Xenopus tropicalis: one gene and its partners. The protein of the gene in region 2 interacts with the protein of the main gene of each other region in a pairwise test. Links are inferred from orthologs where the notes say so. Each region holds a gene or a part of one and is shown on either strand. Other genes may lie near its edges.

The links.
Region 1: the proteins of ngly1 (region 2) and ubxn2b interact in binary tests that used the Homo sapiens proteins (3 or more experiments, as listed by UniProt). The two-hybrid records come from large-scale screens. The link is inferred for Xenopus tropicalis from reciprocal best matches to the Homo sapiens genes NGLY1 and UBXN2B.
Region 3: the proteins of ngly1 (region 2) and trafd1 interact in binary tests that used the Homo sapiens proteins (3 or more experiments, as listed by UniProt). The two-hybrid records come from large-scale screens. The link is inferred for Xenopus tropicalis from reciprocal best matches to the Homo sapiens genes NGLY1 and TRAFD1.
Region 4: the proteins of ngly1 (region 2) and gucd1 interact in binary tests that used the Homo sapiens proteins (3 or more experiments, as listed by UniProt). The two-hybrid records come from large-scale screens. The link is inferred for Xenopus tropicalis from reciprocal best matches to the Homo sapiens genes NGLY1 and GUCD1.
Region 5: the proteins of ngly1 (region 2) and rad23b interact in binary tests that used the Homo sapiens proteins (3 or more experiments, as listed by UniProt). The two-hybrid records come from large-scale screens. The link is inferred for Xenopus tropicalis from reciprocal best matches to the Homo sapiens genes NGLY1 and RAD23B.

What each region holds. Positions count from the first base shown.
Region 1 is NC_030682.2:116,311,671-116,315,700, forward strand, and holds the start of ubxn2b (UBX domain-containing protein 2B), read left to right. Parts: upstream 1-1,221; 5' UTR 1,222-1,310; coding exon 1,311-1,469; intron 1,470-3,754; coding exon 3,755-3,852; intron 3,853-4,030. UniProt on the Homo sapiens protein: Adapter protein required for Golgi and endoplasmic reticulum biogenesis. Involved in Golgi and endoplasmic reticulum maintenance during interphase and in their reassembly at the end of mitosis.
Region 2 is NC_030682.2:47,695,208-47,699,342, reverse strand, and holds the start of ngly1 (peptide-N(4)-(N-acetyl-beta-glucosaminyl)asparagine amidase), read left to right. Parts: upstream 1-1,325; 5' UTR 1,326-1,364; coding exon 1,365-1,471; intron 1,472-4,135. UniProt on the Homo sapiens protein: Specifically deglycosylates the denatured form of N-linked glycoproteins in the cytoplasm and assists their proteasome-mediated degradation. Cleaves the beta-aspartyl-glucosamine (GlcNAc) of the glycan and the amide side chain of Asn, converting Asn to Asp.
Region 3 is NC_030677.2:163,670,053-163,674,073, reverse strand, and holds the start of trafd1 (TRAF-type zinc finger domain-containing protein 1), read right to left. Parts: upstream 2,803-4,021; 5' UTR 2,696-2,802; exon of another isoform or gene 2,435-2,695; intron 1-2,434. UniProt on the Homo sapiens protein: Negative feedback regulator that controls excessive innate immune responses. Regulates both Toll-like receptor 4 (TLR4) and DDX58/RIG1-like helicases (RLH) pathways.
Region 4 is NC_030677.2:152,597,535-152,600,887, reverse strand, and holds the end of gucd1 (protein GUCD1), read left to right. Parts: coding exon 1-42; intron 43-943; coding exon 944-1,035; intron 1,036-1,506; coding exon 1,507-1,748; intron 1,749-1,977; coding exon 1,978-2,069; 3' UTR 2,070-2,844; downstream 2,845-3,353.
Region 5 is NC_030677.2:120,702,902-120,706,298, reverse strand, and holds the end of rad23b (UV excision repair protein RAD23 homolog B), read right to left. Parts: intron 2,916-3,397; coding exon 2,780-2,915; intron 2,211-2,779; coding exon 2,083-2,210; intron 1,526-2,082; coding exon 1,343-1,525; intron 1,232-1,342; coding exon 1,118-1,231; 3' UTR 504-1,117; downstream 1-503. UniProt on the Homo sapiens protein: Multiubiquitin chain receptor involved in modulation of proteasomal degradation. Binds to polyubiquitin chains.

The DNA of each region.
Region 1 (4,030 bases), about 69 Mb from region 2:
AGTGGAATGGTGGCGCCTGCGTGCCCCAGTGTCCTGGGGGGCCCTTGGTGCGGGTGTGCCCGCCATCTGCCGGGCGCGACTTGAGTGTGCCTGTGCCGGGGGTTGGGTGTAAAAAACCTGAGGAAAAGGCTCCGAGATATATGATTCAGGTGGGGAGGGGTGGGGGGGGGGATGTGGGCTGTGTGGAGAAGAAATGGTCTGGTGACAGGCTGGGTGACCTAGAGAAAGCTTCCTCAAGTAGGAGCTCTCCTTCCTCAACCTCCTGTGAGACAGGGGCCGTGTGCCTCATGACTACAAGGGGCCCAGTGCTGCAGTGGGGGGTGGGGGTGGTGAAAAGGGGTACTTGGCTGGCAGGTACACTGGGCTGAGGAGCTGCCTCAGCTGTGGGGGCTATAGCGCTTTGCGCCTGGGGTGCTTGGGGGGGCCTACGTGTAGCCCTCTTCGCCTTATTAGAACTGGCGGAGGGCTTTTGTGTGGGGGCCGCATTGGTGGCAGTGGCGGAGCCGCGTGATGTCACGCGGGCCCCTGTCCTAACCTCCGTGCGCTGCCTTGCCGGCGCGGCAGTCGGAGGTTGGGAGGCAGCGGCGGAGGTCATGCGCCGGGTAGTCCTAGGTGGACTGGGGCTCAGGCGGGAGGGAGGGCGGGAGCGGCGAGGCGGTCGCCTACTGGCACTGCTCGCCGCTTGTATGCCTTGTACCTGTGTGTGGCTGCACCAGCTCCTCGGCTCCCTCGGCCGCTAGTCTGGCCCGCACCTGCTGGAGGAGCTCGTCGCTCATGGCAGTGAGCGGTCGCAGGCAGAAGGCAGATGAGGGAAGAGAGCAGATGATCCTACGTGCTGCGGCTGCTGCCAGTGAGTGAGATGCTGCAGGGTGAACAGTGAAGCAAGGGGGAGGGGGGAGCTGTAGGAGTGTACATTTTTTCCCCTTCTGTAACAGGAACCGTTAACCCCTCGAGTAGTGGAGGGAATTAGGCCCTTGCTATCTCCACAGTCCCTCAGCGCTTTCCTTAATCACTTCAGCGCTGTCCAGAATCCAGTGGCAACCTGACCGCTCTCTTCCAATGTAGGTTCACAAAGAGCACAACTCAGTGGATCATAATGAATGATAGCTCTGCACAGTGCCACCTATACACCGCACTCTCCGAGTGCAAGAGCACCCGGCCAGCGCTGCCCCCTTCCCGGGCCGGATCCGTTGCTATGACAACCCCCCAGCGTGCCTCCGGGCCCAGCCTGCCCGGGATACAATGGGTGACGTATTGGCTGTGACGAGTGACGCACGGTGCGGGAGCTTGGAACGGATTATTGATTAAAGATGGAGGAAAGAGAAAATTCAGAAGAAGGCGACGACGATGCGGGTGAAGAAGGGGAGGAGGACCAAGGATGTAGTGAGGATGGAGGAGAGGTGGGGGCGGAGAGAGAAAAAGAGGTGGAACTAAAGGACTCACTGAGGCCGTCAGTGCTGGACCTGCAGGTGTGTGACTGGCAAGGGGCTTCTGTCGGCTCACTTACATGCGTAGCAGTGCCGTAGCACTACAACAGGAATCCCTGTGCCCAGCGCTCTGTACTGTAGCACTACAACAGGAATCCCTGTGCCCAGTGCTCTGTACCGTAGCACTACAACAGGAATCCCTGTGCCCAGTGCTCTGTACCGTAGCACTACAACAGGAATCCCTGTGCCCAGCGCTCTGTACTGTAGCACTACAACAGGAATCCCTGTGCCCAGCGCTCTGTACCGTAGCACTACAACAGGAATCCCTGTGCCCAGCACTGTACAGCAGCACTACAACAGGAATCCCTGTGCCCAGCACTCTGTACCGTAGCACTACAACAGGAATCCCTGTGCCCAGCGCTCTGTACCGTAGCACTACAACAGGAATCCCTGTGCCCAGCACTGTACAGCAGCACTACAACAGGAATCCCTGTGCCCAGCACTGTACAGCAGCACTACAATAGGAATCCCTGTGACCAGCGCTCTGTACAGCAGCACTACAACAGGAATCCCTGTGCCCAGCACTGTACAGCAGCACTACAACAGGAATCCCTGTGCCCAGCACTGTACAGCAGCACTACAACAGGAATCCCTGTGCCCAGCACTGTACAGCAGCACTACAACAGGAATCCCTGTGCCCAGCACTGTACCGTAGCACTACAACAGGAATCCCTGTGCCCAGCGCTCTGTACCGTAGCACTACAACAGGAATCCCTGTGCCCAGCACTGTACAGCAGCACTACAACAGGAATCCCTGTGCCCAGCACTGTACAGCAGCACTACAATAGGAATCCCTGTGACCAGCGCTCTGTACAGCAGCACTACAACAGGAATCCCTGTGCCCAGCACTGTACAGCAGCACTACAACAGGAATCCCTGTGCCCAGCACTGTACAGCAGCACTACAACAGGAATCCCTGTGCCCAGCACTGTACAGCAGCACTACAACAGGAATCCCTGTGCCCAGCGCTCTGTACCGTAGCACTACAACAGGAATCCCTGTGCCCAGCACTGTACAGCAGCACTACAACAGGAATCCCTGTGCCCAGCGCTCTGTACCGTAGCACTACAACAGGAATCCCTGTGCCCAGCGCTCTGTACCGTAGCACTACAACAGGAATCCCTGTGACCAGCACTGTACAGCAGCACTACAACAGGAATCCCTGTGACCAGCACTGTACAGCAGCACTACAACAGGAATCCCTGTGACCAGCGCTCTGTACAGCAGCACTACAACAGGAATCCCTGTGCCCAGCACTCTGTACCGTAGCACTACAACAGGAATCCCTGTGCCCAGCGCTCTGTACCGTAGCACTACAACAGGAATCCCTGTGCCCAGCGCTCTGTACAGCAGCACTACAACAGGAATCCCTGTGCCCAGCACTGTACAGCAGCACTACAACAGGAATCCCTGTGCCCAGCACTGTACAGCAGCACTACAACAGGAATCCCTGTGCCCAGCGCTCTGTACAGCAGCACTACAACAGGAATCCCTGTGCCCAGCGCTCTGTACAGCAGCACTACAACAGGAATCCCTGTGCCCAGCGCTCTGTACAGCAGCACTACAACAGGAATCCCTGTGCCCAGCGCTCTGTACAGCAGCACTACAACAGGAATCCCTGTGCCCAGCGCTCTGTACAGCAGCACTACAACAGGAATCCCTGTGCCCAGCGCTCTGTACTCAGTGCGCTGCATTGTGTAACACTGCTGCTACACACAGGGTCACAGTTTGAGCCTGTACAGGGGCTGCCAGACAGGTGCCAGAGGGCATTTATATTCTCGCGTACCCTGCACAGCTATAGAAAAACATATTTGTTGGGCCCAGTAACTTCCTTCTGCCCCCTGCTTGGTTGTTCCCCTGGGCTTGGATATGGTAAATGCGAGCTGCCTCTGTGCCAAGAGATGGCAGAAATCTGCTTCGGTGTACCCCTGCTTTGCTAGATTTAAAGTCCAGCCTATTATTTCCGTTTTTCGTTAATGACAGATGCAATACTGTGACAACTGTGTGTTTATATGTCCTTTTAAAGGGGAACTAAAAGCCCTCTCCAGCATTGCTCCTACATAACACACCCAACTAATTTTGTAAAAACGAACTATTCCCATGTACCAGGTAAAAAAACAGAGATGGGCATAGGGTTGGTGTCTGCCATGTCTGGCCAGTTCCATGGTGTTGCCATTGTTGCAGGTTTATGGGTCTGGCTTAGTCATCTTTAAGGGAACTTTTAAAGGCCTGTGTGACACATTGTCACCACTGTATTTTCATTTTAGTTGGCACTGGCTCGACTGTGTGAGGATGAATACAGAGATCAGCCATCAAAAATGCCCGTTTTAGGGCTGCAAATTAATGAAGATCATTCATTTGAAAGGTAAAACTAAAAATTAATCCCAACTATCTATCTGTCTGTCTGTCTGTCTATCATCTTTAAATTCATGTGACATTGCAGTACAGACACGAAGTTCAGAATATTCCTATTTAATAATAACTAAAGTGCAGTTTTCTTTTAGGCTATTTATAAATGATGTGCAAGCCAAAACCATCAGCAA
Region 2 (4,135 bases):
GAGTGACTTGTCCTCTTGCAACTATTTACATATTCCTATATAACATATAAGATTTTTAAATGTACAGGTATGGGACCTATTATCCAGAATGCTCGGGACCTGGGGTTTTCCGGATAAGGGATCTTTCCATAATTTGGATCTCCATAACTTAATTCTGCAAAAACATCATTGAAATATTGAATAAACCCAATAGGATTGTTCTGCCTCCAATGAGCACTCATTATACCTTAGTTGTGATCAAGTACAGGGTACTGTTTTATTTTTACAGAGAAAAAGGAAATAATTTTTAAAAAATTAGAATTATTTGCTTAGAATGAATTCTATGGGAGATGGCCTTTCCGTAATTTGGAACTCTGGATAACAGGTTTCCGGATAAGGGATCCCATACCTGTACCATGTTTTAAACAAAATAACTAATAACTGAAATGCCAAAGAGCCAATATATGGACCATGGGGACCTGTGGATTCTGGTAAATGCAGGAGGGGCTGCTGTAAAATTCCAGTCACTATTTAGTTGGCTGGTGGGGGGCTATTAGCACCTCTGTGTACTTTAAATGCCAGGGCCTATTTTGCATCCCAGTCCAGACCTGGTATGGACCTATAACTGCAACAAAATGCAGTTCTTTTTAATTAACCCTAACTCTATAGTTGTTCTTTTCAGGTGTGTGAAAACAGAAGGCTAGTTTTCTCAGTTCTCTTTGACATCAGCGAAAGTGATTTTGGGCATCTGGCAGCCATGTTTTGAATGTATAAAGGGCAAGTCAGAAAAAATGCCTGAATCTGCTGCTTTTCACAGCTTTGGGGTAGCCACATTTAAATGACTTGCTTGTTTATTTTGATCATTTATCCGAGAAGCTATTAAACATATGAAAACAAAAATGTTTATTCTATTAATATCCTATCAATTATGAATGAACACACTCAAGGCGATAACTCTACCCGCAAAATATTGAATTACCCTTCGGTCAATGACAAACCTATTCTGTAGCAGTAAAAACGCTGCTATATACAAACTGAATACACCAGTAGAAAGGAGCAGTCAGAGTCAAACTCCTAGCATCCTCCATCAGCTGGAAAGGGTACTGAAGACCCTTGGGGCAAAGTTTCCCTTTACTGAATATAGTTTGTGTTGTTTTCTCTAATACTGATTAAACAGACGTTATCCTTTGAGTGCAGTTCTGCTGAGCTGACCCAGGTCCCTACCAAGTACCTGCTATGCCGGCGCGCCACTGTGACTTCACTTCCGTGTTCAGCTCAGGGGCGAAAGGGCGTGTCTCCGTGTTTTGCCTCGCCCCCTGCTACCAGTCACCGAGGGTATTCTCTAACCGGACTTCCTACTATCCCTGCTACTCTGCTCTGGAGCAATGGCAGCGCTGGACTCTCCGGCAGTGGCTGAGCTGTGCCAGAATGAGCGGCAGGAATTCTTGGACGCTTCCCAGCTGCTGCTCACCTATGCGGACAATATACTGAGGTGAGGGGAGCAAAGGGTTACTGGGATTAGGCTCATTCTGTGCGGCTGGCAACTTCTGCCACCCTGGGACGCATGCGCCAATCAGATTATTAACCTTTTGGTATTCTGATTACTATGACAACGAATAGAATAAGTGGAATTGGACATTTTACCTAAATGGCAGGTGTCTCATGCCCAAACACAGGAAGGAGTTCATCAGATGGCAGTGTTTGCTCTGGTTCTTGTGGAAACTTGTCATCTTAATATAAGGGGTCATCTTAATTTAAGGGGTCTATTCTTTTTTTACTTCTGAACATGTATAAAAGTTGTCCCCCTTTCTGTCTCACCATAAGAAGCCATTGTTATTATGTAGTCATATGTGATCCACCAATCAGGGCACTGCTAGTCCCCCAGCAAGAGACCTTACAGGTGTTGCTCTATTGACTCATTTGACTATGATGTGATATCATGGTGATATTTTTGTTATTACCTAGAAAGGAAGTGACTCTAGTGTCTTATTTTAGATTTTCCTTTCTACTATTTGCAGATATCTGTAATATCTACTATTTCTTGCAAGTACAGCATAGCAAGTTCATTAATTGGAACCTGTCATCCAGATATCTGTATAATAAATTAAACATGAAACCCACATTCTTTTTTTTATTATTAAAACTTCCATACCTAAACTTTATTCAGAATCCCAGCTGTCAATCATATGTTGCCTTCCCTCCCATGCGTCAGGCTCAGCAATCATTTTCACTTTCATTTCTGCCCTTCCTAGATGACATTGCACTCTTCACATGCCCCCTCCCTTCTGTCTATAACTGCATAGCCTATGCATGGGCATCAGGTCCCACTTTCTAGGACATAAATTACATTTTGATTGATACAAAGCTTGCCTTAATAACAGTTTCCACAAAATGGTGCCTACCTGAATGCTTTAATGTGGATTCCAAAAAAAAATAAAATAAACAAGATTAAATGGATATAGTGTAAGTAAAAGTTATTTTGCTCAATTAATGTAGTAAATAGGGTTTGTATTTATTCCTTAAGGTGCCTGGTTCGTGTTAAATCCCAGTGCACGCACACCAATCTCATGCAAGGAATAGCTTAGAAACTAAAGTAAGATGGTGGAGCATTGTTCCCCAGCCAAGTACCTGACTGGTGAATATTTTATTTAAAAAAGATGCCCCAGTGTAGGGCAGCAGTTTAGCATTTTTGTAAGCTACATGGTTCCTAACAAATTAGGCATCATGTAAAGCTTTGTCAGAATTGGAGATAAGAAGCTCATAGTACAGAGGGCATCTAAGGGCTCTGGCACACGGGGAGTTTAGTCACCCGCAACAAATCTCCCTGCGAACAGGGAGATTTGCCGCGGGCGACTAATCTACCCGTGTGCCAGAGCCTTTAAGGACTAGACAATTTGTTCAGTTTTCTTCTCCTCCTTAGACAGTTGCTTCCAAGAACTAAAGGAAGTTGGACAGTGAAAGAGGTTTCTGTTTTAAGCTGGCCATACACGCACCGATAATATCGTACGAAACCTCGTTTCGTACGATATTCGGTGCGTGTATGGCATGTCGGCGAGTCGACCGATATCGCAGGAAGCTGCTGAAATCGGTCGACTCGCCGATCGGCCAGGTTAGAAAATTTTGATCGGGCGCCATAGAAGGCACCTGACCAAAATCTGCCGTCAGGGCTGAATCGGCAGAAGGAGGTAGAATCTTATTGTTTCTACCTCCTTATCTGCTGTTTCAGCCCTGACGGTGTGTGGCGGATCTGACGATGTTTTGTGCGACCTTCAAGCAGTAGTTAATGTGTTTTATTGCTCATACAACCAGTTTCAGGCTCACGTGCCCATTATCAAGTGTGTATGTAAGGCCGAAACATGTTGGAGCAATGAAACACACAGCAGGATGATTCGGCTTAAAAAGTCATTCTTTTTCTAATTTTGCTTTTATCTTTCCTGATTATAAGAATATGCAACACATATGTTCAGAGCGTTGTATGTCAGTTTGATTAAGGGTAGTGTACCATTTATTAGCTCAGTCCACTGTGGGAGTGCCGGAGAATTGGGGCTCATCTATTTCATAATTATTCACTTTTTTGCATAGGACATAACGGATCGTAGGGGTGTTCTAGATTTTTGTAAGGGCATTATCTCTCTTAAGCAGGTCTCTGGAGGTATTTATCCAGGGAGGGATAAGCACTCCTTAATGTAGCAGGTAACGTCCAGTTTGTTGCTATCCAGGGGTATTCCCAAATCAGGTGAAGGAATCCTGCCTCTCCCATACCACATTTTAAACATTTGTCTCCTTCTAGCCTGCCCATAGCCTTAAGCCTCAAGGGCATAGTGTAGATTTGATGGATAATCTTAAATGGAACAATTCTGTCCAGTTATCTGTTGCTTCTTCCCATTGTTCTTCATCTGAGGGGATAATAGATAAGACTTGATCAGAGGTCTGAATATTTTTGCAAAACTAATTTTTCTCTTTCTCATTTTTGTGCTGTGGATCTCAAAACTGTACTGCACAGAAGGGCATGTTAGATTTTCACCCTTGGTTTGAACAAACCAATTTTTTTTTCACTTGTTTCCTTGCTGTAGAGAAATTGAGCAGACTGGGGGCATTAAAAATCAGTTGAAGCACTGGATCTGCCCCACAGTCCTGTATTTGGACAGATGGTCTG
Region 3 (4,021 bases), on a different chromosome or scaffold from region 2:
ATACAGGTGGGGTTGAAAAATACCCCTCCATTGACCTTGATGGTAACCACCTATACTCTGCTGGAGCACTTGCAAGTCAGGAAAAAATCTCTCGGAAATGAGCCTACAAATTGCCCCAGCAGGGTGCACGCTATTGTCATTCAGTTCAATGGGGAGGAAATTTTGAGCGTTTTTGCCAAATGCCAACCATATGAGGGCCAAAACACTGGGAATCACTTTTAGTATGATGCAGAGAAGGCTATTCTGAGAAATTCTGCGATTCATTTTATTTTTTTGTTATTTGCGGTTTTTGAATTATTTAGCTTTCTGCTTAGCAGCTCTCCAATTTGGAATTTAAGCAGCAATCTGGTTGCTAGGGTCGAATTTAACCTAGTAATGTGGATAAAGAAAAACTCACCAGCACACCCTGGCTCCTCCAAAAGAAAAAACTTTTAGCCTGGTGCCCGGTATAAAGAGGGAACGGCACCCTCCAATCCAATCTCGAAAAGCATAGATACTGGCACAGCAAGGCAATTATAAACAGGTAAAACCTGCACGTTTATTTAGTGCAACACAGTAACGTTTCGTCTGACGAAGGGGTTCACCCCGAAACGTTACTGTGTTGCACTAAATAAACGTGCAGGTTTTACCTGCTTATAATTGCCTTGCTGTGCCAGTATCTATGCTGTTCAAATTTAACCTAGCCACCAGGCAGTGGCCTGAAAGAGGCAGAAATTTAAATAGGAGGGCCTTAATAGAATGATAAGTAATAAAAAGTTAAAATAACTATAAAATTGTAGCCTCGCAAAGCAATCATTTTTGGCTGTGGGGTCAGTGACCCCATTCAAAAGCTGGAAAGAGTCAGAAGAAGAAGGCAAATACTTCAAAAACTATAAAAAATACAAAATGATAACCGAGTGAAAAGCTGGTAAGAATGGGACACTATATAACATACTACCGGTAAGTCTTAACCTAAAGGTGAAAAACCCTTTTAACATTATCCAGGAATGATATGGTAATGATGTGTTTCACAAGACACACAATCAAGTGCTTAATACTTTTACAATAAGCAAGAATAAGTGAGGCTTGGGATCAAGGAAAAGTCAAATAAAGTATAGAAATAATACCAGGGTGTATATATTTAGCTTCAAGCTAGTTATATATTGGCAAGTCAGCGATATATTGGCCTACAAGTGAAGCCAAAAACAATGGCATCCTGACCCAAATCGGATATGAAGGTTGGAAAATTCTGTTGAGCGAGAACCACATCAGGCAGTGGAAAGCAGCAAAAACTGGGAGTGTTTGCAAGCAGACAGTATACACCCTTAATGACTCATAGTGTATCTAGAAAAGAATAAGCATTAAGAAAACTCCCTCATGGAACAACCAAAAAAAAATATATATATAACCAAGATATAACTAAGCCATATCATAAGCTTGCTAAAAGGTATATATTCCGTTTTATTTCAAACTTTGCTCTACTTCTCCTGTAGGAAAAGAGCAAATGTTAATATGTAAGTGTCATGTTACAATTACAGACACGCTACAATTCAAAGGAAATGAAACTAAATATACTTGCACTAGGATTTCCTTGCTCAGCAATCCTTAGGTGTTTTTACCACTCCTTTGCATGCTAATAATACCCAATACAAAGGCCTCACCCACTTAAAACAACGCTATCACATTATAACCATTATACACATATTTAATAAAATATGGGACAACTTGAATGTACCATTCTAAGTCCTTTAGAGCTGTGACAGACAGGGACAAATCCCCCTTGTCGCGGACGACTAATCTCCACGAAATGCCATCCCACCGGCTAGAATGTAAATCGCCAGTGGGATGGCATACGCAGTGCCGCAATTTGCCGAAGTCACGGAAGTTGCCTTGAGAGGAAACTATGGCAAATCTCCCCGTGTACCCCTGCCCTAATGGATTAGCAAGGAAGACATATAGTGCCTTATGTGATGCTTTTTTCATGTACAATAAGTCTTTTCTTACATACTACCTAACAAAACTGGAGTTAGTGTACACTGGCTTATTATCCCTAGCAACACATGGAGCCATTAGAAGCAGCTACTTGTTGTGGCTACTAAAAAAGACAATGCTGATCATTTACTGATAATTGATCAGATCATGTGTGCTTTAGCAGAGGCAAATTAGGCAATTCTCAGTATGGTGTTTAGTTGCCTTGACAAGTAGCTGCTGCCAGTAGCCCAGTATGTCTTCATCCTAATAGCTGTGTTTGCCCAACAGCTGCAAGGCTAGTGGAAGCCAAATTCTGACGCTATGAGTTACTACAGAATCTACACCCATTATCTGTAATAAATGCAGAATGTGACAAATAGTGAGCACTAAGCAGCGGTGCGGGATAACGATGATATTCTGAATTCTCAGGGTGATTCTGTTACAGGTCTTGGCATCAGCAGACAAAAGAAGAGTAAATAAACACACTTATGTGCCGGCCATTGGCTGAGCTTGTGCTTGGCGTCCCCCTCGAAATGAGTAAGGAAGCAAATATATCCTGTAGTTCCCGATCGTTACAATTCAGCCGGTGAAGATCAGTCTATAAGCAGAGGGGCAGATGGCAAAGTCTTTGTCCGGACAAGGGGTATTACATGGGCACCTTAGAAGCGATAGATATGTCTAGCAGCCAAGCAGCGAGAGAAAGAGAAGCAAAAATCCCGTCAGCTCGCCCCGTTTTAGCCCTTACCAGCGTCTCACGAACACCCGGACACAAGATAAGCGGCTGTCACCGAACTACTTCCCAAATGAACACAACACTCACCCGGGAGGCTACTTCCTCATACTTCGTCTTCTGGTAATGCCCGGCCTGCAATTGGGCGCCAGAGACGTCATTCAATATCACACTTTCAGCCCCACCTCTATCTGCTGATTGGCTGATTTGTAATAGATTTAGCAAACACTAGGAGGGGCATAGAAATGTTACTTATGTTAGTTGTTCTGAGTATGTGTACCGTGGTTCCTATTTCATTTTTCTTCTGCGGATGGAAAATCATGATTGCTTCTGCTTGCATTCAAAATATGAATATAAACAAATACATGCAAATAATTGTTAAATATGAATCTGTGTGTATTCATATCCAGCTGTTATTGTGATAATTTTCACTGAACTTTTGGAGCAAAATGAAGTAAAGGCACTTATTTTGTTCTTCTGAACAGAGAGCATAGTCTTGCCTGAGGATTGTGGTGCCTTGTGGTTGCTGGGGGCAAGGGGGCAAATGGGGGATCCCGTTTGACACCTGCTTTCAGAATGTTTATATGACAGATCATTTTGCACTACACTTCTATATATGTGTAGAGAGGGACCTACAAGTTTTGCTGGTGACCCTACTATTTTCTACTTCCTTCAATGCAGAAAAACCCAGAAGCTAATTTACTAATACCAAGTGCTAAACTGCGCCACTGCGGTTATTCATAGTAACCAATCAGATATGTGCTTTTATGTGCTAACGTGTAGTAGTCTGATAACCATGAATTTATGTTTTGACTTACTGCAGTGCTGTCCAGCTTCTACGGTGCCGAGGGCCGGAATTTCTCTAGCATACATGGTGGAGGGCCGCTAATGGAAGCCAGTTTTGACCACTCCCCCTTTTGAAACCACACCCACTTCAAACCACACCTATTTTATCACAATGGTGGTAGCACAGCAAAATCCCAAATGCTTGGTCCTTACTGTGGGGATATCAACCATCATTCGTATGTGAAAGAATTATGTCATATTAAGATATACCCTTAAATTCCATATGCCTCCTCCTCCCCTGTGGATAGCAGAGCAACCCCCAGTACATAATTACACACCTTAGGGACCATTTAATGGCTATTTCCAACTGCTAACAAACTCCCACAACAACCCCCTGCCAGGTTCACCTCCCACAAGCAGCATAGGGCAAGCAGAGTATGGCACACACAGGCAGCACTCTGCCTGTCCTATGCTGTCTGTGTGTGCCATACTCTGCCTTCCCTATGCTGCCTCTGTGTGCCATACTCTGCCTGCCCTACCCTGCCTGTGTGTGCC
Region 4 (3,353 bases), on a different chromosome or scaffold from region 2:
TGCACTCAGACTTTAGGGGTCGATAAAGGTTATAAGAACCAGGTTAGTGTGGCTGTTGAGTTACTTACAGGCACAAATAGTTGGGTACTAAGTGGTATAGTAATTTTCAGTGCATGGGTTATTGGCACCTAATATGTAGACTAGAAAGCTGTTGTATTGAATAAGGTAATATTTTCTAACTTAAATATATTGTAGGATAGCTGTTGACAGGAATTATACTGTATATACAGGTACCTGTGTACTATCCAAAATGTATTCATGGAGAAATTATCACTGTAGATGTGGATACAGATCATATTCAGTGCAAACACCTAAAGGCACATATGAGTTTCCCATAGATTTGGGAATAAAATGGCAATTTTGTTTTGCTATATAGATTAGGGTTGTCTTATCCTTTATATCCTATATATATATATATATATATATATATATATATATATATATCTGTAAAATCGTGAGAATTGAGAATTAATCCAGCAATCCTGCCTTGCTTTATGGATTTTAGATATAGATTTAAAATCAGTGCATTTGTCTTAATTTCCCTTTTACCATAAAGGTTAATTATATTTACAACGCAAGTCGACATGTAAAGTGGGCAGTAGAGTGAGGTGTATAGTGCTGGTTTTTCTATACCACGGGATTAGCTGCTGCAACCTCTACATAGAGCCAAAAGTTTCATAGCATTGCTTTCCAATAGTTCTGGTTACAGTGCAATGTGAAAAGTTCTAAAGCAGAAATTATTTCAGACACTTGTATTATAGGTAGTGATATTTCAGATGACTGAGGCCTGAATGTTGACTGTCATAAGCATGTTAGGCCTTATGGAAACATGAAGGAGAATTGTTGCTTCTGTAGAAAGCTTATTCAGAATCCAGAGGGCTTCTCCTAAATTTATGGCATCAGGGATTGACATGCTAGTTCATTGGCTACTCTCTTTTCTTAGTCATTCTACAGAAAACACTTTGATGCAGAGGAAAACAGAGTGAACCAGCTGTTTGCACAAGCCAAATCCTGTGGAGTGAATGTGGAAAAACGGTAAATGTACAGCCTTGATACCCGTTATCTATTTATTCAAAATCTAAAAATTAAAGGTATCAAAAATCTTCGATAAATCATGTGCAGTGACTATAAAATAGAATGAAGTGCAATACTGCAGATAGTCTGCATCGTTACTTAAACACAACTAGTTACCGTAGGGCTGTATCTATGGAGTTCGTTATGATACTGGTTATTTTTAGCAAGTAACATGAGCTAAGACATCAGTTCCTTTCTAGAACTGTATCTAGTTTGCATTGTTTTTTTACTTGTAAAACTGGGCAAATTGTTTGGGTCTCACCCCTGTATCTTGTATCAGTGGATGGTACCCAGTGTCAGGCTTCAGCTATTAATGTTGGTGATATCTGTAAATGGTTCGCATTCATTGCCCCTGTTTTCCTTGCACAAATGCAAACTATATCATTCAGTTTTCTAGCTTGCCTGTATAATATTGGCCCTTCCACTTTGCAGCACAGTGACCATTCAGGAGTTACAGGAGCATCTTTCCCAGGGACATGTGGCCATCGTACTAGTGAATGCAGTGCTATTACTGTGTGACCTGTGCCCCAGACGTGTCAAATACTGCTGTTTTCTTCCAATTGGGCAAAAGTGTTTCTGCAGGAGCAGTGACTACCAGGGCCATTTTATTGTGCTTTGTGGTTACAACAAGAGTTCTGGCAGTTTATTTTACAACAACCCAGGATATGCCGACAGTAAGTCTTACCCATGTGTTCCTAACAATTGCATCCTTCCTGTGTGATTTTTTTTTTTTTTTGCTTTCTAAACTTACAGTAAGCTCTTGTGAGCTGGACCTCCGATTCTGTTTCCTATTCTGTAACCCTTGTTTGTTAAATTATTGCACATTGGTTTGTTTTAAATAATTATTAAATACTGTGTAACTTACAGGCACTCTATAAATAAATGATGATTGTTTGCCCTTAGGGTTGTGTCGGACCAGCATCACTAACTTTGAGGAGTCGCGCAGCAGCTATGGCACAGATGAAGATATTCTGTTTGTTTATGTGAACAGCTGACCCCTGAACTCTGCATCAACTTTTTCTCAGGATCGAGTACAGCACTCAGCAGGAACCTCATTACCCACAGTCAACGCGATATAAAGATATTTATATATATATTCTGCTTAGAAGTTAAAATTAAAGCTCACTCTTGTGGTGGTGGAGTAGTAGTAGTCCGTGGAAAATTGGACCATCATTAATTTATCCCTTGCCACTTGGGAATTAATTTAAACCAAAAATATGGCTAGGATGGCCACTCATAATGGTCTGTTGGGTTCAGTTCAACTATTAGGATGGTAAGCAGGTAGCAGTTTCAGGAGGGAAAAATGTAGAAAGGGAACAGAATTGATCATGCAGCATTTACACTGTAGCCAACTTTGCTTGGGCAACTCTGAAAGCCTCTGTAGATATTCAGTGCTATCCATAGAACTGAACGGGGTTCAGTAGAAAGGATGAATGAATTGCCCATTCTTGCACTGATTGACCACATTTGCTCTGTGTCTAGCTGCACGATAGCCTTGTACGAACAGTGCTGCTATAGGGTCACTTCCACACTCAACCAGTGACCCTGGTTAGGAAATGTGTATGTGGGTACGGTTTTAATTTTTATACTTAGATGCCAGGGAAAGGTGTTGTCCGTATGGGTACTAATAACACTATCAATCTTAATTTATAGGGCTGATCCATTAATGTCTGATGTACTCAATACTATAGGGTGTGAAAACACTTTTCTGATGCAAGAGACCACAAAATGTTAATGTACAGTTTATAATAAAGATGGTTTTATACATACTGCAATGCTTCACTTTAGTTTGTCTACTTTAGTGGTCAGAATCATTTTTTTTTAACCCAAGAATAATTTTGAGATTATCAAGACACAAACACATTTTATAAGGTTTGTTAAGTTACACTGTGTAATATTAGTGTTATTCTGGGTCAATTCTTCAATTGCTGCTATTAATATGTAAGGGCTCTTACGTGTTTGTTTTTTTTAAATTCCTTAAGAAAAATTTGCTAAGAGCACAAAACTGCTTATATTGGATTTAAACACTTTAAAAAAAAAAAAAGTTTAATCGGTGTATTCAATAAGCAAACCACCCTGAATACTGATATACATTGAAGCCCAGTGATATCATATATAAGATTAAAGGGGTGGTTCACCTTCAGGTTAATTTTTTTAGTATGTTATAAAATGGCCTATCAATCTTGGCAATTTTTAACTGGTCTAAGTTTTTTAAATTATTTCCCTTCCTCTTCTGACTATTTTCAACTTTTGAATAGGGGTCACCTAAAAAAAAAACT
Region 5 (3,397 bases), on a different chromosome or scaffold from region 2:
ATGCCAGCTTCATTAAAGCAGAAGAACTGTCACTCAAGTGAAGAAAATCATTTGCTAAGTATGAGTTTACAAATTTTTACAGAGTGCAAAAAATGAAAAATCCCTGCTTACAAACAAATGTATTTGTTTTAGTCATCTGGCTATTTGGGGTTTTCTTTTTTGGTGGTGGTGTACTGTTTCACAAAGTAATGGATGTGATAAAGGGCTAAATACAGATTTAAACGTGCGAGACGGGTAGAGAAGGCTGCACGTTCTCATTAAAAAGAAATAATTGCGGAGTAAATGTTACTTAACACACCATGTGGGAAACCAGAACATGCAACAGTTGTTTTAAAAACTTTACTGCAATTTAAACATTGAAGAAATTAGCAATTAGAAAGCTAATTGGAGCCAATCCTTAATCTGCAAGAAAAAATAAAACAGAAAAAAAAAAAAACACATAAAACAAAAATAACCTCCTGCGTGCGTATGAGCACTATTCACTCAATGACCAGGTTTGTAAATATCAGTGAAGATTGTTTTATTGGAAGGAAACATTTCTGAATTGACTTTCACAGGATTACCATGTTAAAAAATTCTGTGCACTAATTTCATACATAGATTTTTTGTAAAGCAGCAGATGATCATCTATGTTTATTTTGGCATTTACAACTTGCAAACTTCTTTAAAGCCCTATAGCAATAATCCAAGGTTTCGGTGACCAAAAGGTTCACATAACAAAAACCACAGATTATTACTAACACCTTTTTTTTAAGTTTAAATGAAATAAGGAAGCAGGGCATTACACTAAATTTCTGGATTGAAGTATACTAGTAAAGGCAAACATATAATGCTTAAAAGAAAATAAACTTTGTCTGCTGAAGCTTTATTTTGGTTGTATAGGTTTAATTCCTTTGTATTATAATACAAGCGGATTGCTGTTACTGCTTAATTAAAGCAGTTGTATGCATTTTCATTACCTAATTTTTCCAATATTTCCCGAGCCCTCCCACCCCCCGTTACTACCATACACCGAATATTGTGGATATGAACCCAAATCATCCGAGTAAATCCAGTGAGCAAAGTTAGTGTAATGCACTGGTGTGAAGTGAGATACAAAAAATACAGTCTCTTCTTTTCAATCATCATCAAAGTTTTGCTGTAGAAGGAAGTTGGCAGCCAAATTCTCATTCTTCTCGCATGCGAAATAAGCTTGTATCACAAGTCCTTCAGGGAATCCTAGTGCTTTTAGCTAAATTACAAAAAGAAGCAACTGCATGAGTACAAATAATCCTCAGCAAGGACAATGCAATACATAATATTACAACATGCCATGGCTATATCCAGTTGATCATTCGCTTACCCTTTCTATAGCTTCTTTTTCCTGAGGTGTGACTTGAATGTAGTTCATATGACCGCTTCCAGCCTCTGCTGCAATGCCTCTTCCACCTCCACCTCCTCCGCCTCCTCCTCCACCTTGCCCCCCACTTTCTGGGACTGGGTCATTTAACATCTGAATAAATTGCTCTTGATGCTGGCTAATTTGCTGCAAAGAAATTGTTTGTTTTTTTTTAATCTTTAGTTGTCTACAATATTTCAGGTTTTTTGTAAGCAGAAAGACAATTTAATATGCATTTCTTGTTCAACCCCAGGAAAAGAACATAGAATTAATGTAAACCATTCCAATGATGTCAGGCTAATTTTGAAATACACAAAAAAAATTAAATTAGCATAGTAGCTATTTCTATCTTTTAAATAAAAGAAAACTGCATTTTAACTATAGTTTACTGCACCCTTTGCTTATCTGTTGTCTAAACAAAGCTATACACAGCTTTTGCTCACTAAAGCCTAACACATATTAAGGAAGCGCTCCAGAAAAAAACAAAACTGAAAAATAATGCAGTTTCCAAACACCAATTATACATTATGTAAAATACATACAAGACATTATATGTATTACTATCATTTAAAGGGTGATCATCAAATGAAGCCAAATTTACTGGCATCAGTCAACTGACCAGCCTCTTACTAAAAAGCGCAACCAATAAAGTACACTTGTGTCCTGAGGCTTAGAGCAAATAAATAGAAGGCCAATGAAACTACCTGCAGTAGTGAGGGATTCTCCCGACCGATTTGTTGGAGAAGTGCTGGTAATAGGGAAGGATTCTGCTGAATGATCTGCCTCATCTGCTGAAACTGAGGCTGATTCTGCAAGAAATCAAGGGGATTTCCTAGAAATAAAATAAATGAATAAATAATGTACCTATAACACAAAGCAATCCTTATATCACCTTAAGACAAAAGACAGGGACAAGATACAATTTTATTTGTTCTCCTGTTGTTTCATGAGACACAGACAGACAAGACCAACATAAATAAATTCTAACCCAAAGCAGAATAAGAAAAAAAAAAAAATCAAGGTAGAAGTTGGGGCCAAGAAATGTAATTGGTAAACATCCAGTAATTCTCTTGCCCATACCTTTTTCATGACAGTTTCAACAGTTATCAAAGATATGTCCAAGCAGAGCTCATAAAGGCCCAAGGCACACCAGATGTTTTTCTAGTGCAGTTGGTGACAGGCTGCCTTCCTGACAGGAAACTGCCTAAGTGTTCAGCCCAACTGAAGTAGCCCCATGTGCCATTACCCCACCCTCATTTTTTGTGACAGTAAAAATTTCTAGTTAAAAAAAAAACAAAAAACTGTCCTATCTTAGAATAAAAAAAAAATATTCTTGACACATCTAGCATAATTAATGTAATCACATGCTTAACATGCTGATTAATTGATTAGAGGTCTCACCTCCCGTTGAGGGTGTAGATGGTGTAGTAGTCGTTGCAGCTGCACCTGCCGCAGCGGGAAGAGGCTGAGTAGGTGTACTGCTTAAAGTCTGGGGAGGTTCTGCAACTGCCTGACCTTCACGATCACTAGGGATTCCCTGTTAAGGTAAAAATACAAATTGCAACTAAGAAAATAGCATTTTATTTCATAGCAATATCCATAATGATATATTACTACAAGAACTTACAAAAAGAATATGTTACCCACATTATTTTTTATATAAAAAGACATAATGGGTGGCTGATATGCTAACCTTTGCCCAACAGTTAGGGCTAATATTTGTCCTTAAAATTATTGAAGGCTGATCACCTCTCCTTCCCATAATAGGTTTAAAATTTGTGAGAAACAAAAAATGTAAACTTAGATCTAGGTTTGGTCTATTGAATGAGTCACAGAAAATTCTTTAAAAGTTCAAGGTACATTGAGAAGATCTAAAATGGAGGCCATGCAGACATAGTACAAAAAGTAATACACCTGCCTAATAGATATGGGGGCTTGCATCAGGGACATCTAAAAAAAAAAAATTGGTCTGAAAGTCCAACTCAGAATAGAGAACTTACTGAAAGCATAACACAGAAG